Mus musculus: one gene and its partners. Each later gene encodes a partner of the first gene's protein in a complex. Links are inferred from orthologs where the notes say so. Each region holds a gene or a part of one and is shown in the gene's direction. Other genes may lie near its edges. The genes, in order: Snrnp40, Snip1, Cript, Sf3b2, Cd2bp2, Ppil2 and Snrpg.

Region 1 (3,201 bases):
GGTGTGTGTTTGAATGCTGTGCACGTGTGTGCGTGTATGCACACGTGTATGTGCCTGTGTCAGACAGACATCTAACTGTATTCTGCTGCAAATCCCCAACTGTTTCTCATCTGCCCCTCCTGCTTCTTCAGCTCTCCTTTGTGCCCTTAGCTTAATGAGAAGGACGGTCGTGGTGGCCCGGGCTTTAGTGTAGATTGTGCGTACTGGGAGAAGGAAAGAAGGAGCCTTCGCAGTTAGCATTGTGTCCTGTTGGGTAGGCCTCCTCCCCCAGGAAACAGTTTTGTTATTAACGTGGAAGCTGCTGGCCCTGGTTGTGTTTGCTGCTTGACTGGTTTGGATTTGCTTTGTAGTTCGTGTCTGGGATGTCCGGCCATTTGCTCCCAAAGAGAGATGTGTGAAGATATTTCAAGGAAATGTCCACAACTTTGAAAAGGTGAGTAGGGCTTGCCACGGGGGTTGGTTTTACTGTGCGTTTGATTTGAAGAAATATTTAAAGCGGTGCTCAGGATAGAGTTGTTGACTCACTAAGAATGACTTAGTTCTTCACCAAAGCTGCCCTTCCTCCTGACCAACTTCCCATGTGCTCAGATTACAGGAGCTGCCCTCAGGCCTGGCTCACCATTCTTCTTGCCAGAAGTAAAATTAGTGTGGTGTATTAAGAGAAGACAATCTCACAGATAGCCAGCGCTGGGGCCCATTCTCATTCATTCCTAGACTTCTGACTTCAGTACCTCCCTGACAGGGCATTCATTCCTGGCCTTTAATCCCTTGGGAATCTCAATCCAGGCCCCGTCACTGTTACTCAGATAGCAGCTGTTAGAGCTCAGGGTCTGTATCTGTCCCCTTACATCGCCACGGCTCGGGTTCGGGAGCGTTTTCCCCAGCCCTCAGGTGTCCCAGGCAGCTCCTTTGAAGACAGCTTCTCTGTCGAGAGCTTGTTAGAGATGTCAGTGGCTTCCCTTTGGGAGCTTACCAATACTGCTTTACTTTATAAATAAATTTTATTTCTGTGTTTGCTGGGGTTTTGTTGTTGTTTGTTTGTTTTTCTTCAAGATAAATAGCAAAGAAAAATAAAAACAAGATAAATTTTTTAAATATTTTAATAGAATCAAGGAAATGGAGCTAAGGGAGCCTTCATTTAAAGGCAGAACAAATTTTTGTCGACAGATTTGTTCTTAATAACTAGATTAAGCATCTCTACATCTAGTGTTTATGTGTTATAAAATCACAAAGCAGGCTGGAGAGTTGCCTCAGCAGTTAAAAGCACTGGCTGCCCTCGTAGAGGACCAGGGTTTGCTTCCTGGTAACCACAGAGCAGCTCACAATTGTCTGTAACTCCAGTCCCAGGGGATGTGACGTCTGTATCTGACCTCCTCAGTCACACATGTGGTGCCCAAACATACTTGCAGTCAAATCACCTAAAGTAATACACTTAGATTAATAATAAATAAGGAAAACCAGGCCATAGTGGCTCATGCTTTGATTCCCCCAGCACTCGAGAGGCAGAGGCAGGCAGATCTTTATGAGTTTGAGGCCAGCCTGGTCTACGGAGCAAATTCTAGGACAGTCAGGGATGTTGTTACACAGAAAAACCCTGTCTAGAAAAACCAATAAATAAATAAGTTTTTTTTTTTTTTTTTTTTTTTTTTTAGAAATAAGATAAATATTTAAAGACAAATAAATGAAATTACAAAGCATGCTGTTTTGAGCAGCAGTGTGAGGGCTGACGACGACAGTCTGGTAGGAAATGAAGTCAGTTGACCCTTGTGCAACAAGAAGAGTTTGGCACATTGACTGTTCATGGGGTTTCTGTTCGTTCCAGAACCTCCTGAGATGTTCCTGGTCTCCAGATGGAAGCAAGATAGCAGCTGGCTCAGCAGACAGGTAAGGATCTCGGGTGTAAGGTGGGATCAAGGTGGCTGTGTGGGCCGCACATCTAAAGCCTGGGTGTGAAGACAATGGGTACAGCTGCCCACGTGACTGAGGGCCTCTCAGAGATGAAACCATGTGAAAATAAAAGGTTATTATAACCCAAACATAGAGTTTTCTGTTTGTTTTTAGGCCTAGAGAATTGACTCTGTTTATATCTGTTGGAGACTCGTGGTCTTCCCAGTGTCTCTGCTTTCTTCGCATCATCCATACAGTAAAGGCTGTCCTCTCATGCCTCCCTCTCTGCTCTCTAGACTGTCTTCCCAGTAAACGCTCTGCTACTTCTCTGAGCTATCCATGGTGCTCTCAGTGCTCCCTCCTCCCTTCCCCCATCCCCCTTCCTCCCATGACACATTGCTCTTTGCTTCATATTTCTAACTTTTATTAGTATTTTACCTCCTTACATTTAGACAGACATGTTAGGACATCCCTGTGAATGCCTCTCACAGTCAGGCGATCTTTTGACATCCTCTGTAAACCCAGGGTACTGCTAGTAGATGGCTTGAATTCCGACTTGCTATTTCAAGGATGAATTCCTAGGTCAGAAGTGACAATCAAATTCCACCCTTGTAGCCAGGCGTGGTGGCACACGCCTTTAATCCCAGCACTTAGGAGGCAGAGGCAGGCGGATTTCTGAGTTCGAGGCCAGCCTGGTCTACAAAGTGAGTTCCAGGACAGCCAGGGCTACACAGAGAAACCCTGTCTTGAAAAAATCCACCCTTGTATCAACCCAACATTTGGTCATAGCTGCCAGTGTTAAAGATGACTCAGAGCCAGATCCAGGCTCAGTGGAAAGTGCCAACATCGCTGAGGGAAGTGGGCTCAGTAACTTCCATCTTTGCCAAGTTACTAGACTTTCCTGTGTGGCTCAAGGCGTTATGTGAACGGGAAACAGGGCAGAATTCACCTGTCAGATACAGGTTGGCTTTGGTGTCTGTGGTGCTGTGCCCTTGGGAGGAAATCAGATGCAGTAGGGATTCTGAGTGCCAAGGACAGAGGATTGTCCATGACTCCTGGAGGCTCAGTGTAGAGGCCTGTAAGCAGAGCTCTTCCCCAGCTCATAGCTTTCAGCACAGCTCAGGGTTCCCTTTGGGAACATGCTTAGAAACTCTTGGTTTTGTTTGTTTCAAGACAAGGTCTCATTATGTATTTCTGGTTGTTTTCAAACTCACTGTGTACACCGAGCTGGCCTTGAACTCAGAGCAGGAATATGCTAGCATGCCCAGTTCACATCTTCTGATTTGTAATGTCTTCTTGCTTCTCTTCCTCCAT
Region 2 (4,169 bases), about 5.3 Mb from region 1:
TCTTTTCCATGTGACTTTTCTCATCTTAAATTTGTCCTCTAAGGTCATAGCTAGGCTTCTTGTTCTCTTCTCCCAACCTCCATCCCTGTCCCAATTCCCTTGGCTGTCAGCCCCAGCAATCTGTCCCCTGAAATTCCAGAGATCCTCAAAGCTGGGATGTCTTTTCCCCATGGGAGTTTGTAGGATCTCGCGTCCCCTGAGACGCCTGTTCATACCGTGGGGCTCCGTTTCTCTGTATTCCGGCTCACCAACACCGGGGTGTCATATTTGAGCAGAGAGTCTGCTGGGGGTATCATGGTGGCAGTAGGGGTAACAACTCCGTAGCGGCCCCTGTGGAGTCTTGTTTGCGATCACCATGGAAACCCCTCCTCTCCTTGCCCCATGGATGGGGCGGGGCCTCTGAGGAAGGCGGTGCCGGCCGCGTGCAAGTTTTGTTCTACTGTGCTTTCTCCGCAAGCACTAAGTTTCTTAGTAAAGAAGACTGGACCCCTAGCGTTAGGTCTGTTTCGGTTTATGATGAAATGGACAGACCACCTTTGATTAAAACGGAAGTCATCTAGTGACTCTATAGAGTATTTGGCGACGATTGGCATTTGGAAGCCAGAGGCTGGCAGATCTTTGTGGATTCCAGGACAGCCAAGGCTATATAGAGACACTATTTCAAGAAACAAAAAAGAGTTTCACATTGTTGAGTGTCTGTGTTTCGTAACTACTAATAACGCGCAAGGAACAGAGCTGGGTTAGCTTTCCCACAGGTTTTTTTCTTTTTTCAAAAAAAAAAAAAAAAAAAAAAAAAAAAAGCTGGGCGATGGTACCACACACCTTAATGACAGCATTTGGGAGTCAGAGGGAGGCAGAGTTCAAGGTCAGCCTGGTTATAGAGTGACTTCTAGAACAGCCAGGGTACACTGAAAACCTGACTATGACGGGGGGGGGGGGAGATTGTCATATATATTTTTTTGAGGTTCTGGGGACTAATCCAGGGCTTCGTACTCGCGAGGCAAACGCTCGCTCGGTAACTAAGCTACAATCTCAGCCTTCCCTCCCCTTTTAACTCTTGATTTCTATTTGGCGGTGCTGAGGATGAATTCAGAGCTTTGCGATCTATCCGAGCTACAACTTTTTCAGATTTTGAGACAGTTTCACTAAATTGCCCAGGTTGGCCTCGAAATTACTGCGATCCTCCTGCTTCAGCCTCCCGGGGGGTTGGCCCTGCCTTTTCAGTACTCCAGCCACACCTCCCAGCAGCGGGGACCCCGTGGCCACTCGCGCCGGCGTCCCCAGCGTCTGAGACTCAAACACCTGGGGCCCCGCCCATCAGGGGGGCCGACACCGTGAAGGCTTCTGGGATAGCGCGCTGCCCGGAAGCGGAAGTGCAAAGCTGTCCGTCACTTCCTACGGCTCAAGTGGCTCAACGGACCGTGCAAGTGACTCTCGGTCGGGCCGCAGGATGAAGGCGGGGAAAAGCGAGCGGGAGCGGAGCGGCCGGCGGCGACACCGGTCAGGCGACGCTCTGACGACCGTGGTGGTGAAACAGGAGCGTCTGAGCCCCGAACCCGTCGCGCACCGCCGGCCCGACGCTCCAGCCGCTAGCCTGTCCCCGCCCGCCGCCGAGCCTGGCCACTCGGGTCACCGCGGGAGCCGAGCCCGGTAAGCGAGCCGGTGATTGGGCGGAGGACGGGATGGCGCGGGGGCCGGTGGTGCGAGCGGCTCTGGAGTGCAGAGCACCTGTTGAGTTGAAATGAGATTTCCCCCGCCTGCCCGCGAGTGGATGGTGCGAGTGGCTTCTCCCCTCGTCTGCCTACAAAGACACGTTGGGTCTTGGCGACTTCTTCGCAGCACTCATTCGCCAATGCCTCCATGTGGCATCGATTTATTGAGTGCGTAGTGTGGGTTAAAGATCAATTGGAGGTACTGGGTCACAAGGCAAAGAAGAGAGATGCTTTTTCCTTGGCGAAGTTGGGCAGGCTCTAACTCGAAGAAGGAAAACAACAAATAGATAATTTCAGTCAGTATTAAAGACAGATCAAAACGGCAGTGTGGTAGCGAGAGGCTGGGTAGAAAAAAGAGAGGGCTTGTACAGAGGTGCTCCTTAACGGAGACCTGGCTGGTAGGATTGATCCATTCTCTTGAGTCAAGAGTCTTTTAGCAAAGACTCCAGGAAGGACCAACCCACTGTGGTCGGGCATGCTTGTAACCCAGCAGAGGGGATGCTGAGACAGGAGGTTTCTGAGTGTATACACACAAACACGGCGCGTGCACGATTATGACAGAAAAATATATACATAGAACCTGAGCTGGAATTCTGTTTGTTTTAGAAGTTGAACAACAGCAGCAACAAAAACAAAAACAAAACAGCCAGCATATCTGGAATTGAGAGATGGAGCAGCATTGTAGGCTGGTAGGAAGGATGTGGGATGGAGGACAGGGCAGGGCCCTGAGACCTGCCAAGGGATTGGTTTTGGTTGTTGGAGAAGGGAGTTGTGTTAGGGAAAAAACCAGGCTAGATTGGCTTCCTGGATAGTAGTGCCAGATAGTAGGATGGCGCATCCGGAGAAGAAAGGTTTCTGAGGCGTTGGGGTTGGAGAATAAGGTTGTCTAGGTGAGAAGGCTTAGCAGGCCATTGTGTATGTGGTTGGGAGAAGTGTTTATGGGAAGTGAAGGCCTGCTGTGGCTACTGATCTCACAGATGTGTTGTGTTTAGTAGGTGAGCCTGATCCTGGAAGCTAACTTACTTTCGGGAAGGAACTTTGAGGTAAAAAATCCTGTGTACCATTCTCTGTAAAGGTCCCCAGCCAAGAAGAAAAGCAAGTCCTCTGGGAGAAGAAGCAAGTCACCACGGACCAAGAGAAGCCAGAGTCCCCACTACCCCATGGTCAAAGTGAAGCAGGTGAGTGAGTGAGTGAGTGAGTGGGCAGGGACCATGGGTGGAAAGCTCCAGCCCAGAGCTGTTGCTGAACCCCAAGAGGTTGGCAGCCAGGTGTGGACATGCTTCCTTGTCACTGCAGTGGGCTTTTCTAAAAATGGGATATGTATTTGGGGCTGTTTTTCCTGAAATTTTAACGTTTGGAGACAATTGTTGATTTGATTCTGATAACTCTTGTCAGAAATAATACGGAGAGATGTACATATCCATGTTTCTCTCAATGGCAACTTCTCGCACAGCTGGACAGTGTCGTGGTCAGGACACAGACGTTTCACCACCATCAAGGTGCCTCATGATGTCTGATACTTCTCCGCCTTTATCCTTCCTTACCTCCTGGCTGGCCGCTTCTCTCTTTCTATTGTTCTGGATGCACACTTAAGCCCAGGGTCTTTAGGTTAGAAGATTGTCCTTGGTGCTGTTGAAACCAGCACAGATGGGTCACGTTGGGTCTGTGAGTGCCCATGTGCTGTAGGACCAGTTTTTCTTTTTCTTTCTTTTTTTTTTTTTTTTTTTTGAGACAGGGTTTCTCTGTGTAGCCCTGGCTGTCCTGGAACTTACTTTGTAGACCAGGCTGGTCTCGAACTCAGAAATCCGCCTGCCTCTGCTCCCGAGTGCTGGGATTAAAGGCGTGTGCCACCACGCCCGGCTAGGACCAGTTTTTCAAAGGACATTGGTTGTCTCCATTGAATTATTTTACTCCCACATTGAAACTCAGTCAGGTATATGTCTATCCATGCAGACTCGATTACTGCACTTGCATAGTAAGTCTCAAACTGAATGTCCTCTTTGCTGCATATGAGCTGCCATGTGGGTGCTAGGAATTGAACCCAGGTCCTCTGGAAAAAGTAGCCAATGCTCTTGTCTGTTGCGCCATCTCTCCACACCACCCTCCTCTTTTTCTTTTTTTCCTTTTAGCTGTTCTGGTTCTTTCGTCTCCATCTCTATGTAAATGTTCGAGAGTGTGTGTGTGTGTGATAAAAATCTTTTAAAAATAGTATTTTTTTGCATGTGTATGAGTGCTTTCCCCGCCCCTGCATGTATGTGTATGCACTGTGTATGTCTGGTGCCCACAGGGTCCAGAAAAGAGTACCAGAGTCTCCAGAACTTGAGTTAAGGCTGGCTGCAAGCCACCTCATGGGTTCTAGCAACTGACCCAGCTCCTCTGGAAGAACAGAAAGTGCTCTAACTGTAGAGTTACCTTCTAGATTCCTTAGTAACATCTCGAAAGAGGCAGGTGTTGTGG
Region 3 (4,193 bases), on another chromosome or scaffold:
GACATGTGCCAGACACCAGCAACTAATTTTACTTTTTTGGCGAAAATCACTGCAGTTCCCAAATGACAGCCAAGTATACACTTAGATATGCAAATGGTGGAGGACCATCTTAAGATGGTCATTATGCTACACTAAGGGCTCACACTGTCTGTACAGATGTTAAATAATGGTAATAGCAGAACGCGAGTGGGAGGAGAAACAATAGTTTCCAGTCTCTAAATACATATATTTGACCTAGAGAACAGTTTCTATGTTATACTGACTAAAGTTAATTAAGAACTTAAAAGTAACACATGTTACAATGTAGTAAAAATCGGGCCCAAAAAGTAACATCCACACCGCAGGGTGAGGAACTAGCAGGAAAGGTAAAAGCGCAAGTCTGGGCATGGTGCTATTAGCCCTCATTTCATTCACACTTATCGTTTTCAAAAGCAAATGATACTGATTAAGAAAACTGGATGAACAAGTTAGCAGATACGGCCAAGGTTACACACGCACAAGCCATTTCAAGCATCGCCTCTTTAAACAAGAAGAAATCCTCCAGGGTCGGGACAAGAACGCATAGCCGTGAAAAGACTTGGGGAAAGTTTCTCAGATTCTCCCTTCCACTGCGGGGTCAGGCAGGAAGCGCGATCAGAAATCCATCCTAGGCCACCGGCAAACACCCATCTAACACGGCGAGCGCGAGCGGTACCCAAACGCAAAGGTGACACCGGCGAGCGAGTCCCCGACCCAGGACACCACACCTGGGAAGCCGCCCTCGGGACTCGCGATCCCGTGAGAACGGGGTCGGAAGGCTTGGCTGCTCCCGAGCCCTCCTCCTGAGCAGCCTTTGCTCAGGTGCGGACCGCAGCTCCACCCCACCCAGGTGGCTCCGTCCCAGCCTCGGACGGCGCAGTGTGGGCAACTGGAGGTCGCCATCATAGAGAGAGCCCGTGCGGCCGACCCGGTGACCTGAGGTCGGAGTCCCCTGAGAGACTGTGATAGACGCCGGCATCTCAGAGGGTCGGTAGCGCAGGGCATCCTCTGGTCCGCCGGAAGCGTGGCGCCCTGGAAGTCACCGCAGCGGTCGGCGGTGCGACCTGCACCCGCCCCGGGCGAGTGTGAGAAGCAACCCGCCACCGGCTTACCTAACTCTCCCGCCCGCCGAAGGGAAGGGGGACACCACCGCCTCCCACCCTCAGGTGCTACAGGCTGGCATGGCCCCTGGCGCAGGCGCAGACCAGAAAGCGAGGGGGCGGGGGGAACTCACAAGCGCACAGCCAATCGTTGACGAGAAGGGGCGGGATAATGAGAGCAGCCCCGCCCATCAGCTCGCGTTTATCCCTCCCGCGACTTTCTAGGTACGGGATAGGCCGGAGCGGGAGGGCTGAGAGTCCGGAAGCGGGCTGACGTAGCCGGAAGAGGAAGTCGTCTCCGCTGGGGCGTTGTTGTGTTTGGGTTGCTGCTCCTGCTTTGCCGGCTGAGGGCACAGGGACACCCCCATGTAAGGATGGTGTGTGAAAAGTGTAAGTTCAGGGGCTGCTTCTGGGGGAGGTGGAGGGCTGAGAAGTTCTCTCGGGATTTCTCTGGTTTTCCCCTGCTGGTCTGTGGCGTAACCGGTGTCTTCCTACCCTGCCCCTCGGCCCTTCTTGCCTGTCCCGTAAGCATAGCCTTCCGCTCTGTGTTGAGAATGGCTTCAGTTCTGCGCCTCTTGTGTTTGTTTCTGTTGTCGTCCTCGCGCCCCTTCTGGGTCTCCTCCGTTACAACTTCTTGATTGGCTCTCGGAGGCTTAAATCGGATCTTCACGATCTTTCTGGTAGCATCAAGAGTTGACAGATGTCACAAGTATAAGTTCCAGGCTCTCGGTTACATCTTAAGATTATAAGCAATGGTTAATTTCCAGTATTATTAATATGTCCCGAATAATGTTTAAATCTTGACTTTCTGCTTTTCCTTACTACAAAACATGCCGCATTTAATACAGATTTTATTTATTTATTTATTTATTTTTGGTTTTTCGAGACAGGGTTTCTCTGTGTAGCCCTGGCTGTCCTGGAACTCACTCTGTAAACCAGGCTGGCCTCGAACTCAGAAATCCGCCTGCCTCTGCCTCCCCAGTGCTGGGATTAAAGGCGTGCACCACCACCGCCCGGCTAGATTTTATTTTAAAAATTACTTCAGTGGCTATCTGAAATTAAGTTAAATTGGATATTTTGAGCCATCCCGTCAATTCATTAATACTCACAGCTTTGGGTCAGGTGAAGGAGAGAGTCTCATCACCACCAAAGAAATCTTTAAGTAGTCACCCCTGGCTTTTAGAAAGGTCTTTTTAACCCTTTTAGTTACCATTCAGTAATTCCAATGAAACCCTTAAGATTTGTTGTAAATATTTAATTTTTTTTTTTTTGGTAGCTGCAAAAGCTGATGATTCGTTTAAAAACAACTTTCTTCTCTTGATCTCTTTCATGGGCTAGACAGCCTTCTCTGACAAGATTCAACCCACATCTCAGTTACTGGCGGATATACAGGACCCATTTTGTTCATAGCCCCTCAGTATGTAGAACTCTGGACACAGACACCCCTCCAGAGCTGTGCCATTCTTAAACGGTTTTTTATTCTTTTCGAAAGTGGGATAAATGGTTAATTAAATGTGGCTTAAATGTATTTAGATTGTGAAGCCGTCCTTTGTGCTGTGCCCTGAAAGGTCATTTCCTCTGCTCTTCTGAGAAATCTAAGGTCTTATTATCTGTAGCCTCTCAGTCTGTCTGCTCATTGCATGCACCCCGTAAGTAAACTGAGGTACTTGCATACAGAAGCTGTAATGTCAGCAGCCGCCTCAGTTCAGTCTTCCCTTGTATCACACATTATTCGAGAAAGTTACTTTTCTCCAATTTTTTAGAGTTACCTCTTAGAACTTGGCACGTACGTGTTCTCCAGTTGTGCATTTACTGAGTTCCAGGGAGTTTGGTTTCAGTGTGCTTTCTTTTCCTTGTTCTGTTAGGTGTTTGAGGACTGTTTGGCCTCAGCTGGCACATCCATACCACTGAGCATCCAGTGCTCTTCTCCACCCTGAACAGTGCCCTACTTAAACAGTACTAAGTAACTGTCCATTTGGAGCATATAAATACAATATATTTATCATTTTAAATTGCTTTGTTTTCATCAGAACCTTGCATGGTGCTTTGTACAGACTAGGTGATTAGAGAATGTGAGAGAGAGGAATGAATAAGTTTGTCAGAACTGCTTAAAGTATAATCAGTTAAAGCCTGTTACTAGAGCATCGTTTTGTCCTGTAAGTTTTATTTAGAACCAGTATCTGTTGCCCACTGTTACTATCTTAAGTTTTCATTCATTGGTTTCTACCCTGGCATTAGTAGGTTCCTCCTATAATCTGACTTCATATCGTTATGTACTTTAGGCGATACAATATATTTATCATTTTAAATTATTATTGTAAAGTTAGCAAAGAAATGGGTTTTGTTATTTTATTTCCACACAGTTTGCTTATTAGATGACAGCTGTTCTCTTTTGCTGTCTTGGCGACCACAGGTGAAAAGAAACTCGGCAGAGTTATCACTCCAGACACATGGAAAGATGGTGCCCGGAACACCACAGGTACTGTTTGCTGTTAGGAGACAGGAGCTGGGTCAAGCGCTGTGGCCCTGCTCTGGTGCGTCACATTTTGCACAGTGCAGTGTTAGATGCTGATTACCTTGCCCAGTAAACACCGAGGGCTCGGTTCTCCTGGGAGTGCACATCTTTCTTCATCATCTGAGTTACATGTACGGATTCCTCATATAGTCAAGAAGTAGTAAAATTATTATTTCAATGTATGTCTATTTGATTCAGATTGGTAAAGTCTGTGTTTACATTTCCTTCCCACATCTAAGTTTTACATTCTCAAACAAATTTAGACTGCCTTACTTTTTTTTTTTATTAAACGCATACAGCAAAGCCCAGTGCAGTGATGCATGCCTTTAATCCCAGTACTTGAGAGGCAGAGGCAAGCGGATTTCTGAGTTCGAGGCCAGCCTGGTCTATCTACAAAGTGAGTTCCAGGACAGCCAGGGCTATACAGAGAAGCCCTGTCTCGAAAAACAAAAACAAAACAAAACAAACAAACAAACAAAAAAAAACCAAAGTAGACAGATGTTACACATACAAAAAGAGTGTAGGCATTGTCAAAGCACTACTTTAAGACTGAACAATAA
Region 4 (3,988 bases), on another chromosome or scaffold:
CAAGAATATAAAGTCCCCAGGTTAGATACCCCCACCTCCCAACTCATTTATTAGCTGCCTCCTGGATGCTAAATACTTCAAGATAGAAGAAGATCAAGTTCCAGATCCTGTTTGGGGGAATGGAGGTGGGAATAAAGGACAGGAAAGACTTAAAAATGAAACAAAGACAATGGATTAGCTGGCAGCAGTAAGCCCAGTTTTCAAGAAGCAGAGGCAGGAGGATTGCCAAGAGCTAGAGGTTGGCTTGGGCTCGATTTTGTCCCAAGACAGTCTGAACTACATGACTCTTGATCTTCCACTCCATGAAATCGGGTGTGATAGTATATATCTGTAGCCTGCAAAGGATCAGAAGTTCTAGGGTAGCCTGGGCCACATATGGACACATTTGTCTTAAACAACAAAAACCTTGGGGCTTGAGAATTGGTGTTAAGAGCACTGTTGCTTTTGCAGAGGACCTGGGTTCGATTCACAAAAGTGTAACTCCAGTTCCAGATCTGACACTTCTGGCTTCTACAGATACCAGGCATGCAAGCGGTACATATACATATAATAAAACACCTGAAAGGTGGAAAATGTATTAATGAACATTCCTCGAAAGGGGGAAGGAAGCATTTGACAGAGAATACATTTATTTAAGACTTTTTCGAAGGTGCAAAAGGGGATTTTATTTTAGCAGTGCCCTTCCCCCAGGTCAGCAGCTGGAACTCAGCTTGGCGGTCCGTTCCTCCACCGGCTCCGATCCCCTTTCAGCCCATTCAAGCACGCCTGGGCGGGAGTGAGCAGACAAACACTGTTTTATCAGAGCCATCGGCACCAACCTCCCATTCGGGCGCCGGAAAGGAATCTCTATGAGCTCCTAGGAGAAATAAGCACCCAGGTCTCTCATCATTGAAGGGTGTCGGGACAGAAGACTTAGTATGTGTTTGGCCAGGAGAGAAGAAGAATGCATCTGCTCTGGGTAGAGTAAGCTCTTGCAGCCAGGCAGCGGATGTATTACTACTGCTGCATACCGGATGTCATAGCGAGCGTTCGTCCTCTAGATGGCGCATCCGCAAACTACAACTCCCAGAAGGCTCTGCAACCTCCGTTGGCGGCGATTCCTATTCCCCGGTAAGGGAAAGGGCGTGTGTTTGGACCAAGTTCTCTCCAATCACCGCGGGACGTGGATTACGCAACCGGAAGTTTCTGGAAGTAGGCCCGGCGGCTGACCCGAGCTTCCGTGTTGGTCTCGCGCCTTCTTGTGGCTAAGATGGCGGCGGAGCATCCCGAACCTCCCAAAGGAGAGTTGCAGTTGCCACCGCCTCCACCTCCAGGCCACTATGGAGCCTGGGCTGCGCAGGAGCTTCAGGCCAGATTGGCAGAGATAGGAGCGCCGATCCAGGGTGAGGCGCAGAGGCGGTCGAGAGGGGCCCTGCGTGGGCTTGTGGCGAAGTGGAGCTTGGTTACCCAGGAGACCCACGGGGCGGGGGGCGGAGACAGGCCTGTGGGACCTGACCTCGCCAAATTGGCCTGCTCGAGGTGATGCTGACCCCCTGATTCTGTGCTTCGTCCTATAGGGAGTCGCGAGGAGTTAGTAGAGCGGCTGCAGACCTACACCCGTCAGGTGAGTGTTGTCAGTGCAGGCTAGGTCTCACTTTTCCTGGAGGCCTTTAAGACTACTCACGGATGGATCTTCGTTTCTCTTCTCTTCTCTTCTCTTCTCTTCTCTTCTCTTCTCTTCTTTCTTTTTTCTTTTTCTTTTCTTTTTTTTTTTTTTTTTGGTTTTTTTTTTTTTTTTTGAGACAGGGTTTCTCTGTATAGCCCTGGCTGTCCTGGACTCACTCTGTAGACCAGGCTGGCCTGGAACTCAGAAATTCGCCTGCCTCTCCCAAATGCTGGGATTAAAGGCGTGCGCCACCACTCCGCGGCTGGATCTTCGTTTCATATACTTTTTTTGTTTGTTCTTTCGCGATAGGGTTTCTCAGTGTAGCCCTGGCTGGCCTCAAACTTAAGAGATCCTAATGCGTTTGCCTTCCGAGTGCTCCAGCACACCGGGCTAGGTCTTTTTTGTGTACTTCAACGCAGCAAGCCGGCTCTTGACCATTTTGTCAGTTCTTGGTTTTGCTTTATTGTAATTACTTCTACTCCTGTTGCTTTTCTCAGGTTCCAGCCCCAGTCTCTGTCAAGTGGGCACTGGGTACATTTTGTTAAGTAAATAAATGGAAGAGGAGGTTATGTAATGGAATACGTCCTTGTAGTCTGACCTAGAGCTCTCTTTTTTCTTGTAGACGGGCATTGTCCTGAATCGACCAGTTTTGAGAGGAGAAGATGGGGACAAAGCGGCTCCTCCTCCTATGTCAGCACAGGTAAGAGATTGCTTCGAGGATCTTTTCTGCTCAGGATAGCCATGTGTTGAGCTAGCAGATGGGACCGTAAGTTAAGGGTGAGGTCTAAGGAGACAAAATTGTGACCTCTTCACTTCTGATTTAGTGCTGCTACTGTTTTAATCCCCAATGTCTACTCCTCCAAATTTGACTTATCACTCAAGATTCCACTAGAATATCTGGAAATGTTCCTTGATCCTTTCTCAGCTGGAAGTGGTCATGCTTTCTCCTGCCAGGTATAGCTCCCAAAGTTATTGAAACGGTAAAGGATAATGCCCTGACTTGAATAATATACTCCCTGCATCTAGTACAACGTAGATATCCTATGCCTTGGAATGTTGGTTATTACTTTTTTTTTAACTTATTTTTATGTATATAAGTGTTTTGTCTGAATTTGTATTTTGTCCAAGTTTCTACCTGTGCGTCACGTGCATGCAGTGTTTTAGGAGGCCATTGAAGGGCGTTGGGTCATTCTGGGGCTGGAGTTACAGAACTGTGAGCTTCCATCGGGGTGCTGGGAATTGAGCCCTGATATTATAGAAGAGCAGCTCTTAACTGCTTGGCCATCTATCCAGCCCTAGTTCCTATTTCTTTAAGTCCTTTCTGATTCTAGTATTTGTTTCTCTTCCTCTAAAGTTGTGGCTTTGACCTGGAGTTTATTGGTGTGTTTGTGTATGTGTGTTTTGTGAAGTTCCTGTATGGATTTTAGAGGTGTCCTTGTACCTCCTTAAATTGAATGCAAAATGTAATATGAATGTTCCTCATATTTTTTCAGAGAAGCTAATAGCTTTGATCAGTGTGCTAAAGTTAGCATCTTTTGATTCTTTTATGGTGTATTTTCTTGAATCCTACGTCATTAGACTTCAAATTCTAGTATCTGGCTCTTTTGCTAGGTCTCTAGCAAATGCTTATAAATTGAATAAATGCTTTCTAATTCATAGCTGTATTTTTTTCCCCATAGCTGTCTGGGATTCCTATGCCACCACCACCTATGGGACTTCCCCCTCTACAGCCTCCTCCACCACCTCCACCACCTCCACCAGGCCTTGGCCTTGGCTTTCCTATGGCTCACCCACCAAATCTGGGGCCCCCACCACCTCTTCGAGTGGGTGAGCCTGTGGCGCTGTCAGAAGAAGAACGGCTGAAGCTGGCACAGCAGCAGGCAGCTTTGCTGATGCAGCAAGAGGAGCGTGCCAAGCAGGTAGGACAGGTGGAAACCTGTACCTGGGACACATTAGGTCCCTGACGGGGAAATGGAGCCTGAGAAAGCTAGACCCTGAGGCCAAGCCTTTTAGGAAGGTCTTGGTTGAAGACTAGAACGTAGGTATAGTTAGACTCCCAGGAAGCCAGTATTTTGGCAGATTGGCCTGGGCCCTATTGCTGCTAGTGTGAGATTCACTGAAGCAACATGAACTCTTGGGGTACTGGAAGACGGTGATGTTTTTCTCTCTGACTTGACATCTTGCTCTATCCAGAGGATGCCATTTAACATTATTTAATGTCCAAACCAAGATGCTTCATTCAAATTTGCCTTGGAGGCTACCTGATAACCAAATAGGTTCTAGTGCTTCCATCTTTTCTGTAGTCCAGGAGTTAGCACACTATGTGTGCCCTGCTTGTGGATG
Region 5 (4,142 bases), on another chromosome or scaffold:
TTCTGCTGCTCCCACTCTCACTGGCCTCCTGGGATCCTCTGCACAGCTTGCAGGACTGGGATCGCCTTTCCAATGGCTTCAGCCCCCTGGAAGCTGAAGGAGGGGCCTGAGAGTGTGTGCAAAACCACCATCTTTAGATTGGGCTGGGTTCTTGGTCAGCAGCTTGGTGCAGTTCCCTGGGCGTCTAGGGTAGACTAACTGCCTGGGGTTCATCCCAGCAGGTACACACAACCAAACTGCGCAGCTCTTGTTTTCTGTGGCTAGATCTTTGCCACACACCCTCTACTCCGGGTCAGGATGATAAAGGTGTGGGCTTCTGTGGCCGTAAAGCTCCACTTGGCACTTCTCAGCAGAAAGGGGATCAGGGTGTGTGGTCTCCAGGTAGAGAAAACCCCCTCCGGATGAACCAGCAGTGCTGAGAGCTGCTTTCTTCAGGGTCCTGTCTGTAGCAAGATGCCCTCCTGGTCTAGAACTTGTGTTCTGTACCCACAGAAGTGAAGTTTCATGATTCACAATGGGAGAAAACCCTGGAGGAGAAAGGCGTGGTCCATCTGGCTGCCCTCTTCCAACTCTAGTAGGATCACCGGAGCTATTTAGCCGAGGGTGGGGACGGGGGTGGAGGCGTTGAGGTTTGAGTTGTTCCCCAGAGCTCCAGATCTAAACCTCACTATTGGGGAAGATCTCACCTGGCCCCAGCTTTGCAGGAGCTGGATCCCAGCCCTTTGGCAGTTTGCTAAGGGATGAGGTAGGCTTCGTGTAACTGATGGGCTTCTGCCTGGTTACAGGCCACGGACGGAAGCCAGTGGCACCTCCTGTGATGGTTGTCCCGCTACAGAAACTAGGAATTAAGTGGGAGAATAGACATGGTGCAAATGACTCCTGGGTTCTAAAAGGGCTTGGTTTGGAAGGTGCCCGAGCGCTTATAATCAGAAGCAGGACTCAGAGAGAAGAGCAAGACTTTCTTTAAAAATAGACGGTCTCATGTTGTATCCCAGACTGTCGTCAATCTCGCGACAATCAATCCTGTTTCAATTTCCCGAGTGTTGGGACTGCGTTAAGATCGGAAGCCCGGGTGTCTACTGAAGGCCACTAGGCGTACAGAACCCTATCCATACATGCAAACGGAAGCCCGAAGCCTCTGTTCGGCCTGTGCCTCTCCATCCAGGCCTTGGGAACCTCTTAGCACACCACGTCCTTATCCTCACTGTAGCCTCCATCGTAGAGGAATAATAAAACATTTCCCGCCATCCTCAAGTCCCGTGAGGCAAGGACGTAGTTCACGCGAGTCTTTGCAGGTCTTGCGTCACTTCCTGCCGCGAGTCGGCCTTGGCTAATGGTATGCATCCGCCCTTTTTGAATAGAAGTGAAGCCACTTCCGGGTCCTATGCCGGTCTCCACGGTTTTTTTCCGGGTGATGAAGGCGGGTGCCCCGGATGTAATACCGGCGAAAGCATCTTTCCTTTTCTTCCCCGCCTGACCCTGGGTTCCTAGGTGAGCACCGGCGGGTAAGATTGTTTGAATCCCCGCGGGTTTGCTTCGCCTTTAGTTTGTACGCCAAGGACATGGCCGAGCAGGTCGCTACGTGGTATTCGGGGATCTAGGCAGCTCCAGCTCTTGGGTCCGACCGGCCTCTGTGAGCACTCGGGTGGGAGAGGTGGTTGAGTTCGGTAGCTCCGGACTGGTAGGGGAGTGGTGACGTAGGGGAACCTGACTCCCCATCCCCGGGTGGGAATACCCGCAGGGTCCACGCGGGGGCGGAGATCCTTCCCATCGCCTCTCCTCCGGGCCTCAGAATTGCCCAACCAACCCCGGACGTCGTGCCTGCTAGTTCTCTCAGATGCTTTAGCGATCTGTCCTCGCTCACATTTACCAGGAAAAATGTTGGTGGCCCCTGCACTCCCCCGCGGTCCTCTCTCCTTACCTCACTTCCTCACTACATATCTTTTTCCGAGGTCCAGCTGGAGGAAATCCACAGCCAATCATGCCAAAGAGGAAAGTGACTTTTCAGGGTGTTGGAGATGAGGATGGTGAAGATGAAATCAGTGTGCCCAAAAAGAAGGTGAGATGGCCAGATTTCGAATTTCCGTGGAGGACTGAGAGGAAAGAAGAAGGAGAAATCTGATGGGAGGAAAGCCGGGAAGCCAAGGAAGTGTTAGTTTTCCCCGGCGCACTGGGTTTGGAAAGATTTGTGTACAGATCCTGGAGTATCTGGGGAACTACCCAGTTGGCTGCATTTCTCATTTGCTTCGGCCTCCTCACAGCTGGTGGACCCTGTGGCTGCAGCAGGTGGTCCTGGGAGCCGCTTCAAAGGCAAGCACTCTTTAGACAGTGATGAAGAGGATGATGATGAGGAAGGGTCCAGCAAATATGATATCCTGGCCTCAGAGGATGTAGAAGGTGAGCTATGTCCGAAGCGTTAACTGAGTTGGGGGGACAAGCCTTCAGGATGGAGGTGGGAGGTGTGCCTGCTTCCCTTTTGCGTGTCTAGCATGCCCCACCCCCAATGTCTTCGGTGCAGGTCAGGAAGCAGCTACTCTCCCTAGTGAGGGCGGTGTGAGGATCACACCCTTCAACCTGCAGGAAGAGATGGAGGAAGGCCACTTTGATGCTGATGGCAACTACTTCCTGAACCAGGATGCGCAGATCCGAGACAGCTGGCTGGACAACATTGACTGGGTGTGGCCCAGGGACTATTCTGGCTGAGGCCTGGGAGTGCAGGTGCAGGGCCTGGGCCCTGGTGGAAGTTTGTAAGAAATTCTAATTATCTTTTCCTTGTAGGTGAGGATCAAGGAACGGCCCCCTGATAAGCACCAGGTTTCAGACTCGGAGGAGGAAGACAGCCTGGGTCAGACTCCAATGAGCGCCCAAGCACTCCTGGAGGGACTTTTGGAGTTGTTGTTGCCAAGAGAGACAGTGGCTGGGGCCCTTAGGCGGCTGGGGGCCCGAGGAGGAGGCAAAGGGAGCAACAGCAAGGGGACTGGACGGCCCAATTCCCCCCAGCGGCTAGACCGGCTGTCTGGGTTAGCTGACCAAATGGTGGCACGAGGCAACCTTGGTGTGTACCAGGAAACAAGGGAACGGTTGGCTATGCGACTGAAGGGTTTGGGGTGTCGGGCCCAGGGATCCCATGACCCCACACCTCCACCCTCCCTGGACATGTTTGCTGAGGAAGTAGCAGAGGGTGAACTGGAAACCCCAACCCCTACCCAAAGAGAGGGTAAGTTTGGAGGGCACGGGTGGGGGGCAGTGTGGGCTGGAGACTGAGTGCTTGAGGCCCAAGTATCGTTCATTGTGTTAGAGGCAGAGTCAGCAGGAGATGGCCTGATGGATGTGATGTGGGAGTATAAATGGGAGAACACGGGGGACGCCGAGCTGTATGGACCCTTCACCAGTGCCCAGATGCAGGTGAGCTGCCCCCTGCCGCGTCTGTCCCATCTGTCCAGCCCACCTTCTGTCAGCTTGCCTGAGTTCTGTCCTCTGTTCTTACAGACGTGGGTGAGTGAAGGTTACTTCCCGGATGGTGTTTATTGTCGGAAGCTGGACCCTCCGGGCGGCCAGTTCTACAACTCCAAGCGCATTGATTTTGAGCTGTACACGTGAGCCCGCTAAGGGCCCCATGCGGCACGGCAGCCCCTTCTTTCTTGAACTTGGCAGAGGAAGCCCCAGCTGCTCTGGGCAGTGAGGATATTGGAGGCCACTTTAAAGCCATTGTTTCCCAATAAAAGCCTTGACTGTGCGATGGCCAAGAGCCAGGGCTTCTCCATAGCTCCTTTTGGCTTCACCTGGTAGGTCCCTGAGCGTTTCTTCCCGAGAGACTTCCTCACTTGCTTCTCTCTGGTGTCTTGGACCACCTCAGTTTTTTTTCCCACCCTTGGAGGCAGAGGTAGGGCCCATCAGATGTCCTGTGACTTTCCTACGTAGACAACTTCTACTTGCTGTGTAAAATTCCCTCCATCACTCTTTTCTCCAGTCTCCCTTGCAAGTCCCTGTTCTGCTGATCTTTGACTTTTAGGACCTCAAATGCTCTGTCCTGGCAGCTCCCTTGTAGCTGGGACATTGGGAAGACCTTGAAATCCTATTGAGAGATTCTCTTAAACATGCATTCTCTTCTTCCATAGTCTGATTTTTCTACCCCTCGCCCC
Region 6 (3,500 bases), on another chromosome or scaffold:
TGTGGCCTTGGCTGCCCTGGAACTCACTATGTAGATTGAGCTGGTCTTGAACTCATAGAAATTTACCTGCCTCTGCCTCCAACTGCTAGGATTAAAGGTGTGTTTCACTTCTCAGCTCATCTTGTGTTGAGACAAGAGTCTGTCACTAAACCTAGAGCTCAATGATGGGCTAGACTGGCTTGTCAGTAAGTTGCTTCCGTCTCTACCTCCAGTGAAGTACACTGAGCCACTGAGCCATTTTTCTAGCACCTATTATTTTGAGGTGTGTGAGTGTGCGTGCATGCATGAATAGATACCTGCCCTTAGAGGCCAGAGGTGTTAGGTTCCCTGGTGAGTTACAGGCAGTTGTGAACCACCATGTGAGTGTTAAGAACTGAGCTCAAGTCTTGTATAAGAGCAGAATATATTCTTAACTGCCTAGCCATCTTTCTGAACCCTACCAGAAGATTTTTTTTTTCTTTTTTCTCCAAGATAGAGTTTCTCTGTGTAGCCCTGGCTGTCCTAGAACTTGCATTGTATACCAGGCTGGCCTTGAATGCAGAGATCTGCCTGCCTCTGCTTCCCATGTGGTGGGACTAAAGGTGAGTGGCACCACTGGCTAGCAACTACCAAAAGATTCTTAATTTAGGGCCTGGAGGTATAGTTCAGTGATGAAACTAGCATATAGCATATATAAGGCCCTGGGTTTGATCTCTAGTAACACATAATACATTCTTCTTTCTCGAAACAACAGCAATAAAAAATTTAATTCATAGTAATATAGCTTTGTTTTTGTTTTTGTTTGCTTTGTCTTTTGTTTTTTGAGACAGGGTTTCTGGGTGCACAGTCCTGGCTATCCTGGAACTCGCTTTGTAGACCAGGCTGTCCTCAAACTCACAGAGTTCCACCTGTCTCTGCTTCCCTCTCAAGTACTGGGATTAAAGGAGTGCATCGCCATGCCTGCTGTAGTAATGTAGTTTTAATGGTAGGTATACATAGATGAAATATTTTCCAAATAGGTTATCTGTTTTTTATTTCATCTTTAACAGATATCTCACAGACAAGTTTTCGCCGCTTACCTTTTGACCACTGCAGGTGAGAGCTTCAAATCCTTCTGTTTTCCCTTGGCTTTGGTTGAGTATCATTTCTCCCAAAACAGGTGTGTGTGTTTTAACTGCAGCTTGGGCTGACCTTGAACTCCTGAATCTCCTGCTGCTACCTCCCAAGTATTAGGATTATAGGCTGCCATCCTTGCATATTTGCATAGATTTTTTAAAAAGATTTATTTATTTATTATATGTGTGTACACTGTAGCTGTCTTCAGACACACCAGAAGAGGGCATCAGATTTCATTACAGATGGTTGTGAGCCACCACGTGGTTGCTGGGATTTGAACTCAGGGCCTCTGGAAGAGCAGTCAGTGCTCTTAACTGCTAGACCATCTCTCTAGTGCTTGTTTTTTTTTTTTTTAAAGATTTATTTATTTATTATATGTAAGTACACTGTAGCTGTCTTCAGACGCACCAGAAGAGGGCATCAGATCTCTGTTACAGGTGGTTGTGAGCCACCATGTGGTTGCTGGGATTTGAACTTCGGACCTTTGGAAGAGCAATCGGGTGCTCTTACCCCCTGAGCCATCTCACCAGCCCCTTGTTTTGTTTTTTAAGGTAGGGTCTGTTTTCTGCTCTGGCTTCTGACTGACCTGGAACTCATTAAACTTAAAAAGACTGACGTGCCTCTGCCTCGAGAACACTAGAACTAAAGGCTTGAGACCAAGAAAGGGCGATCAGCAGTGGCCCAGGCAGCTCACAGCTGCAGACACATGTGAAGCGTAGCTGTGGTAGCTGAGGCTGCTGTAGGCCTCCACCCCAGTCCATGTGCCCAGCATACGTCAGGGTGGTGTACAGACAGTACCACAGGGGCCTCATTAAACCCTGGGACGGGGAGGATGCCCCGGGGCGAAGCTTAGTCTGACTGCTCTATGAGGGTCTGGAGAGGGAATCCCAGCTTGCTTCCTCAAGGCCATCATGAGGCACCTCTTATGTGACATGAAGTGGGCTGCTGCTGCCTCAAGTACTAAGGCAGCTCCTGGGACAGCAGCTTATCCTTATGACGTGGTGTCAGGGACAGAGGGTACTCAGAACTGTGGAGCAGGTTGTGGGACCCAGAGCATGCTCAGTGTGCCTAGAAGCTGACGAGGGGTTTCTGTTCTTTTCAGTCTCTCTCTCCAGCCTTTTGTCTACCCAGTCTGCACCCCAGAAGGTGTCGTCTTTGACTTGCTGTGAGTTTACTCTTGAATTTTTAAATTTCTTTTTATGTGTGTGTGTGTGTGTGTGTGTGTGTGTGTGTGTGTGTGTGCCTGCCCACCCAGGTGCATGGTATTTGTGTATGTGCAATTGTGTTCAGATACATTTATATGTGGAAGCCAGAGGTCAATCTCATGGGGCTTTCTCTGTTGTTCTTCATCTTATTTTTTTGAGACAAGACCTTGTCAGTGAATTTGGCACTGTCAGCAAGACTGGCTGACCAGCAGGCTCCCGGTTCCACCTGTTTCAATGCCTCCAGCTCCCACTAAAGTTACAGATAGGTGCTGTCTTTAGCTGGCTTTCTTTTTCTTTAGTTTTTTGTTTTTTGGTTTTTTTTTTAGTTAGTTTGTTTGTTTGTTTATTTAAGTACACTAGCTGTAGTCACCATCAAATCCCATTACAGATGGTTGTGAGCCACCATGTGGTTGCTGGGAATTGAACTTAGGACCTCTGGAAGAGCAGTCATTGCTTTTAACCATTGAGCCATCTCTTCAGCCTCATTGTGTCTGGCTTTAACATGGGTTCTTGGATGGAATACAAATTTCAGGCTTTTGTGCTGTGGAGAAAGTCCTTTATCCACTAAGTTGTCTCCCCAGCACTCTATATTTAATTTTGACTTAATAAATATGACAGGATTCTTGATACCAATTAGAGAAAGGAATATAGAGTTTGTGGCTCTAAGCAGGGTCAAAGTTACTAAAATCTTGTCCCTAGAAATCTCATGACATCTAGGTGAGCCTGTTTGGTAACTGGGAGGGACCACCAGGCCTCAGGCAGCACTAGCTGGCAGATGCTGTTGCAGTGGAGTGAGTCCTTCTCCCCCCTGTCTTAGAGGCCAGCTGCTTACAGATGTGCAGTAGAGGTGTGCTGGATGGTCTCTGCATGGTGAGAGATGCAGAGTCCCCTGCATTGCACTCTGATGCACTGCACCCTGTTGCATGTTCCAGCTAAGCTTGTTTTACATCCTACATTTTTTTCTAAAATTTGCAAAATAAAAATAAAAAAATAAAAAAATACTTGAATAGAACAATTTACCCCAATGACGTCACTGTCCAGGATCATCATTATGCCCTCTTAGCCCTGTGCACAGATTTCTTTGGTGAGTGCAGAGGGTGGGGGAGTCTCACTGTAGTGCCCTGGCCTGTGTTCAAATGACTTCCCATTCTCATACATCTCCCAAGTAGCTAAGCTTACACCACACTTGGCTTACTGCCA
Region 7 (4,088 bases), on another chromosome or scaffold:
ACATGGTGGCTCACAACCATCCTAATGAGATCTGGCGCCCTCTTCTGGAGTGTCTGAAGACAGCTACAGTGTACTTACATATTATAACTAAATTGTAAAAGGTGCATACTGTAATTTCAGTACTGTAAGGCAAGCTGAGGATTTCCCTCCTGCTTTGAGGTCAGTCTTTGCTAAAGACTATCATTATTCATGTTCGTTTTCTAGTTTCAACTAGCACAGCAAGTGGTGGGGAGAGTGTATAGCTAAGCATTCTTGTGCTATTTTTTTGTTGATGACAAACTAATCATGAGGAGAACCTCAATTGAAGAGCTGCTTCCATCTAACAGGTCTCTGGACATGTCTGTGGGTCATTAATGACTACCATGAGAGAGCCCAGTGCACTGAGGGCAGTGCCACCACCCTGGGAGAGTGCACACCTTTATTCCCAGCCCTCAGGAGGCAGGGGCAAGCTCAATACCTCAGGACTTGTGTGGTACTCCTCAGCTTTTATGTATGGACTGTAGTGTGCTAAGTGGGTTCTGAAGGCAGCGTTAGAATTGCAGAATTGATGAATCAGAAATACCCCAGACACTGGATTCACGTCCTCAAGAGAATCCGCCTAGCCACCTTCCTGCTACTGATGCGGACAAGCTATTCTGTGCTTCAGGAGCCCTCGGCTTCGCCTGGATGTGCTTAGGAAATTAAGGGCAGCGTGGTGCAGATGCCGTTGATTCTAGCACGGGAAGCAACAGTTCAAAGCCAGCGTTGACTACACAGTGAACTCGAAGCCAGCATGAATTACGTCAAAAACAATGAGGAAGGGGCAGGGGAAATGACAAAAATGTAAAGAGAAAAAAAGTGTAGTAAGTGGGAAAAGGAAAGAAAAGAAGTGACACACAGGCTGGAGAGACGCTTCAGCAGTTAAAACCACTGGCTGTTCTCCCAGAGCTCTGGAGTTCAATTCCAGCACCCACATGGTGGCTCACAAGCATCTATAGTAGGATCTGAGGTCCTCCCCTGGCGCGCAGGTGTACATGTAGAGCACTCATACATAAAATATAAATGAAGGGGTCTGTTTTTAAAGTGACCTGCCACTTCAATTTTACACAAAGGAAGCTTAGCCGAACACAGCCTCTCCGTCGTGGCCTGTCACTGGCGACGCAACCGGAAGCGTGGCTCTGGTCCGCAGGTTCAGACATCCCCATCAATATCGCGAGATGAAAGGTAATGTTCTCCGAAGGCGATTGGCTCGCGCGGCGGTGACGTCAGACACCAGCGCCAAGCCTGCCTTGCGCGCGTTTCTGAGCCTGCTCACTCCTTCGCCGTTGTGCCGAGCCCGCAGAGGAGTCGCCATGAGCAAAGCCCACCCTCCCGAGCTGAAGAAGTGAGTAGAGTCGGCCCTATCGAGACTTCTGTCTCGCTCGGGCTGCCGCCGCTGGTCCCGACGGTCGCGGGAGCCGGAAGTGGCGCTAAGGTCCGGTCGGCATGGTTACTGCAGTGCCGGTGCCTCTGTCTTCCCAAAGCTGGGGCTCTCCTAGGCGGGCAGCCAAAGGCAACCTGGTTGGGGACCAGGGCAGCGGTCGAGGTGCATGGTTGTGAGGAACCGGAGACTCGTGGGCTTAAAATGATCGATTGGAGTCGGACGTGATTGGCTGTGATCTATGGGGCCAATATTCAGGAAGCTTAGGCAGGAGAATTACCGCGAGTTCCAGACCAGCCTAGGCTTAAAAAAAAAAAAGACACTGTGTCTCAAAAAGTTTAAGGTGAGGTAGCGTTTTGTGTTTCAATAAATGTGCGCGTTCATTTGCGTTCATCAAGAGAGCTAGGTTTAGTTTTGGGGTTTTTTTTTCCCCTTTTTGGTGCTCAGAGACATGTTTAGTTATATGTTTGTGCACGTGGGTGCAGCTCCTGCGGAGGCCAAAGCGGGCATTGGATCTGCAGAAACAGAACTTGTAGGAGGTTGTGAGCCCTCTGGCGTGGTTAATAATAGCTGGACTCGTGTCCTCTGGACAAGCAATAAGCGCTGGGCCATCTGCAGCCCCAAGAACTAGGTTTCTGATACACTGTCCTTGTATTCAAGTTACATTTAAACGTTGTGTAATATCTTGCTCTGGCAATAAATCCATGGAAGGACATCCATTTTCTACTTGTAAAGAGCTAATTTCTGAAGAATTTTATTCTGTACCCAGTAAAATCAGACAGACCCTTTGGTCTCAGACACTTCTGACTGGCCTGAACCTGTCGCATATGCACATAGTCATTGGGTTGCTCAATACAAGATTAATACTGGGTCTTTTCTGGTGTAGCCAGAAAATAATCTGTCTTGTGTATAGCCTGTTTGCTACTGTAAAGTTCTGTCAAGACCCCAATGCAGGGGAAAGATAACAACATTTGCTGATTTTTGTATTTGAGTGCACATTTTAATCAAAGCCCTCTGTGTGAAACCCCTGCAGTTTTGTTTGAATCTGAATCTGTTAAACCGGGCCTAGAGAGTTGGCTCAGAGGTTGAGAGCACTGACTTCTCTTCCTAGAGGTCCTGAGTTCAATTCCCAGCAACCACATGGTGACTCACAACCATCTGTAATAGGATCTGGTACCCTATTCTGGCTTGCAGGCCTATAGGCAGAACACAACATAATAAAGATGTATTAAGCCATAAGTCTGACATTTTAAAAAGAAGTTATTCTGCACTGTTTGTTTTGATGATGAGCTAATAAATGAGGTCTGGATTTAGCAGGAATTGGCAAAATGGCATTGGTTTTGAACAAAAGCACTGTTCCCTACCTGTAATCTTCAGTGTCCTCTGATTCTTAACAGATATACTTGGGCCTTTCAGAGACTGGAACTAGTGATTGTGTCCATATTTTTATTGGCGTGTTTGGAGCAGAGCCTGTGTGAGCTACTTTGTCACTGAACTTCTCTTCTCTGAGTTGATGCCTTTTTCTCATCCCTACATTTTATCAAATTTGAAATACTTTTAGATCCGCCTCCTTATTTTCTCATAAACACCTCCTTTTACAGCTATTCACTCCTAGTTTAGCATAACTCCATAGTTCTTAATCATTTCTGGTCCCGTGTCTCAGTAGTTTCAAAGTTGAGCTCCTCCCAACTCCTAAAATGTGTTGCCACAGAAAGTCTTAACCACTGATGAATTCTGCTATACTAGTTTATATCACCACAAAGTCAAGTCCAGACTTCCTAACCCAGCTTTGAAGCCCCACCCCATCTGCAGTCCAGCAGCCATATTTTGCATGGTATATGACTAAAAACAATTTTCTGCACATTAGTGTCTCAGTTACTGACCTCTTGCTGTATAGAGGCATCGTGACCAAGACAACTCTTATAATAAAGAAAGCATTTGATGGGGACTTGCGTACAGTTTTAGAGGCCATGATCATCATGGAAGAACAGGCAGGCAGTAGTTGAGAGCGTTACATGCTGAACCGCAGCAGCAGGCAGGGCAGAGAGACACTAGGCTGGCTTTTGAAACCTCAAAGCCCACTCACTCCCAGTGCCACCTCCTCCAACAAGGCCACACCTCCTAATCCTCCCAAACACTTAATCAGCTGCGAACTAAACATGCACATAAGTGACTCCATGGAGGCCATTCTCATTCAACCTCCACACTGAATGTCAGTTCTCCATCTGTATAACATGGTAATAATAGTACCGGAATCGTAAGTGTTAAATATGTTCCTCTGTTGATTTACAAAATAACTCCTAGTAATTTATAAATGTTATTTATAAATCTATTTCCACCTTCAGATTCTTATGGCTTAAATTTATATTTAAATTCTATCATGGTCTATACATTAAAACTCAGTGAAGCAGCCGAGCAGTGGTGGTGCACGCCTTTAGTCCCAGCACTTGGGAGGCAGAGTCAGGTGGATTTCTGAGTTTGAGGCCAGCCTGGTCTACAGAGTGAGTTCCAGGACAGCCAGGGCTATACAGAGAAATCCTGTCTCAAAAAAAAAACCAAAACAAACAAAACAAAACAAAAAACAATTCAATGAAGCTCAGCCTGGTGGCATAGGCATGTAATGTCTGCTACTTGAGAAGCTGAGGCAAAGAACTACAAAACCAGGGTAGCTAAGAAACACTGTCTTAAA

Evidence for each region.
Region 2: Snrnp40 (region 1) and Snip1 share a complex: the UniProt entries of both Homo sapiens proteins name them as parts of the minor spliceosome. The link is inferred for Mus musculus from reciprocal best matches to the Homo sapiens genes SNRNP40 and SNIP1.
Region 3: Snrnp40 (region 1) and Cript share a complex: the UniProt entries of both Homo sapiens proteins name them as parts of the minor spliceosome. The link is inferred for Mus musculus from reciprocal best matches to the Homo sapiens genes SNRNP40 and CRIPT.
Region 4: Snrnp40 (region 1) and Sf3b2 share a complex: the UniProt entries of both Homo sapiens proteins name them as parts of the minor spliceosome. The link is inferred for Mus musculus from reciprocal best matches to the Homo sapiens genes SNRNP40 and SF3B2.
Region 5: Snrnp40 (region 1) and Cd2bp2 share a complex: the UniProt entries of both Homo sapiens proteins name them as parts of the U5 snRNP complex. The link is inferred for Mus musculus from reciprocal best matches to the Homo sapiens genes SNRNP40 and CD2BP2.
Region 6: Snrnp40 (region 1) and Ppil2 share a complex: the UniProt entries of both Homo sapiens proteins name them as parts of the minor spliceosome. The link is inferred for Mus musculus from reciprocal best matches to the Homo sapiens genes SNRNP40 and PPIL2.
Region 7: Snrnp40 (region 1) and Snrpg share a complex: the UniProt entries of both Homo sapiens proteins name them as parts of the U4/U6-U5 tri-snRNP complex. The link is inferred for Mus musculus from reciprocal best matches to the Homo sapiens genes SNRNP40 and SNRPG.

What each region holds. Positions count from the first base shown.
Region 1 is NC_000070.6:130,384,132-130,387,332, forward strand, and holds part of Snrnp40 (U5 small nuclear ribonucleoprotein 40 kDa protein), read left to right. Parts: intron 1-350; coding exon 351-433; intron 434-1,822; coding exon 1,823-1,884; intron 1,885-3,201. UniProt on the Homo sapiens protein: Required for pre-mRNA splicing as component of the activated spliceosome. Component of the U5 small nuclear ribonucleoprotein (snRNP) complex and the U4/U6-U5 tri-snRNP complex, building blocks of the spliceosome.
Region 2 is NC_000070.6:125,065,303-125,069,471, forward strand, and holds the start of Snip1 (smad nuclear-interacting protein 1), read left to right. Parts: upstream 1-1,369; 5' UTR 1,370-1,450; coding exon 1,451-1,650; intron 1,651-2,704; exon of another isoform or gene 2,705-2,787; coding exon 2,788-2,890; intron 2,891-4,169. Other genes in the region: Dnali1 (axonemal dynein light intermediate polypeptide 1), read right to left, coding at 216-296. UniProt on the Homo sapiens protein: Required for pre-mRNA splicing as component of the spliceosome. As a component of the minor spliceosome, involved in the splicing of U12-type introns in pre-mRNAs. Down-regulates NF-kappa-B signaling by competing with RELA for CREBBP/EP300 binding.
Region 3 is NC_000083.6:87,024,168-87,028,360, forward strand, and holds the start of Cript (cysteine-rich PDZ-binding protein), read left to right. Parts: upstream 1-1,393; 5' UTR 1,394-1,492; coding exon 1,493-1,508; intron 1,509-3,531; coding exon 3,532-3,597; intron 3,598-4,193. UniProt on the Homo sapiens protein: As a component of the minor spliceosome, involved in the splicing of U12-type introns in pre-mRNAs. Involved in the cytoskeletal anchoring of DLG4 in excitatory synapses.
Region 4 is NC_000085.6:5,292,656-5,296,643, reverse strand, and holds the start of Sf3b2 (splicing factor 3B subunit 2), read left to right. Parts: upstream 1-1,188; 5' UTR 1,189-1,249; coding exon 1,250-1,382; intron 1,383-1,556; coding exon 1,557-1,603; intron 1,604-2,267; coding exon 2,268-2,345; intron 2,346-3,324; coding exon 3,325-3,564; intron 3,565-3,988. UniProt on the Homo sapiens protein: Component of the 17S U2 SnRNP complex of the spliceosome, a large ribonucleoprotein complex that removes introns from transcribed pre-mRNAs.
Region 5 is NC_000073.6:127,193,278-127,197,419, reverse strand, and holds the start of Cd2bp2 (CD2 antigen cytoplasmic tail-binding protein 2), read left to right. Parts: upstream 1-1,342; 5' UTR 1,343-1,491; exon of another isoform or gene 1,492-1,958; 5' UTR 1,959-1,981; coding exon 1,982-2,059; intron 2,060-2,261; coding exon 2,262-2,397; intron 2,398-2,518; coding exon 2,519-2,676; intron 2,677-2,778; coding exon 2,779-3,217; intron 3,218-3,298; coding exon 3,299-3,405; intron 3,406-3,489; coding exon 3,490-3,600; 3' UTR 3,601-4,142. UniProt on the Homo sapiens protein: Involved in pre-mRNA splicing as component of the U5 snRNP complex that is involved in spliceosome assembly.
Region 6 is NC_000082.6:17,104,753-17,108,252, reverse strand, and holds part of Ppil2 (RING-type E3 ubiquitin-protein ligase PPIL2), read left to right. Parts: intron 1-1,028; coding exon 1,029-1,074; intron 1,075-2,197; coding exon 2,198-2,260; intron 2,261-3,500. UniProt on the Homo sapiens protein: Has a ubiquitin-protein ligase activity acting as an E3 ubiquitin protein ligase or as an ubiquitin-ubiquitin ligase promoting elongation of ubiquitin chains on substrates.
Region 7 is NC_000072.6:86,370,252-86,374,339, forward strand, and holds the start of Snrpg (small nuclear ribonucleoprotein G), read left to right. Parts: upstream 1-1,288; 5' UTR 1,289-1,331; coding exon 1,332-1,363; intron 1,364-4,088. UniProt on the Homo sapiens protein: Plays a role in pre-mRNA splicing as a core component of the spliceosomal U1, U2, U4 and U5 small nuclear ribonucleoproteins (snRNPs), the building blocks of the spliceosome.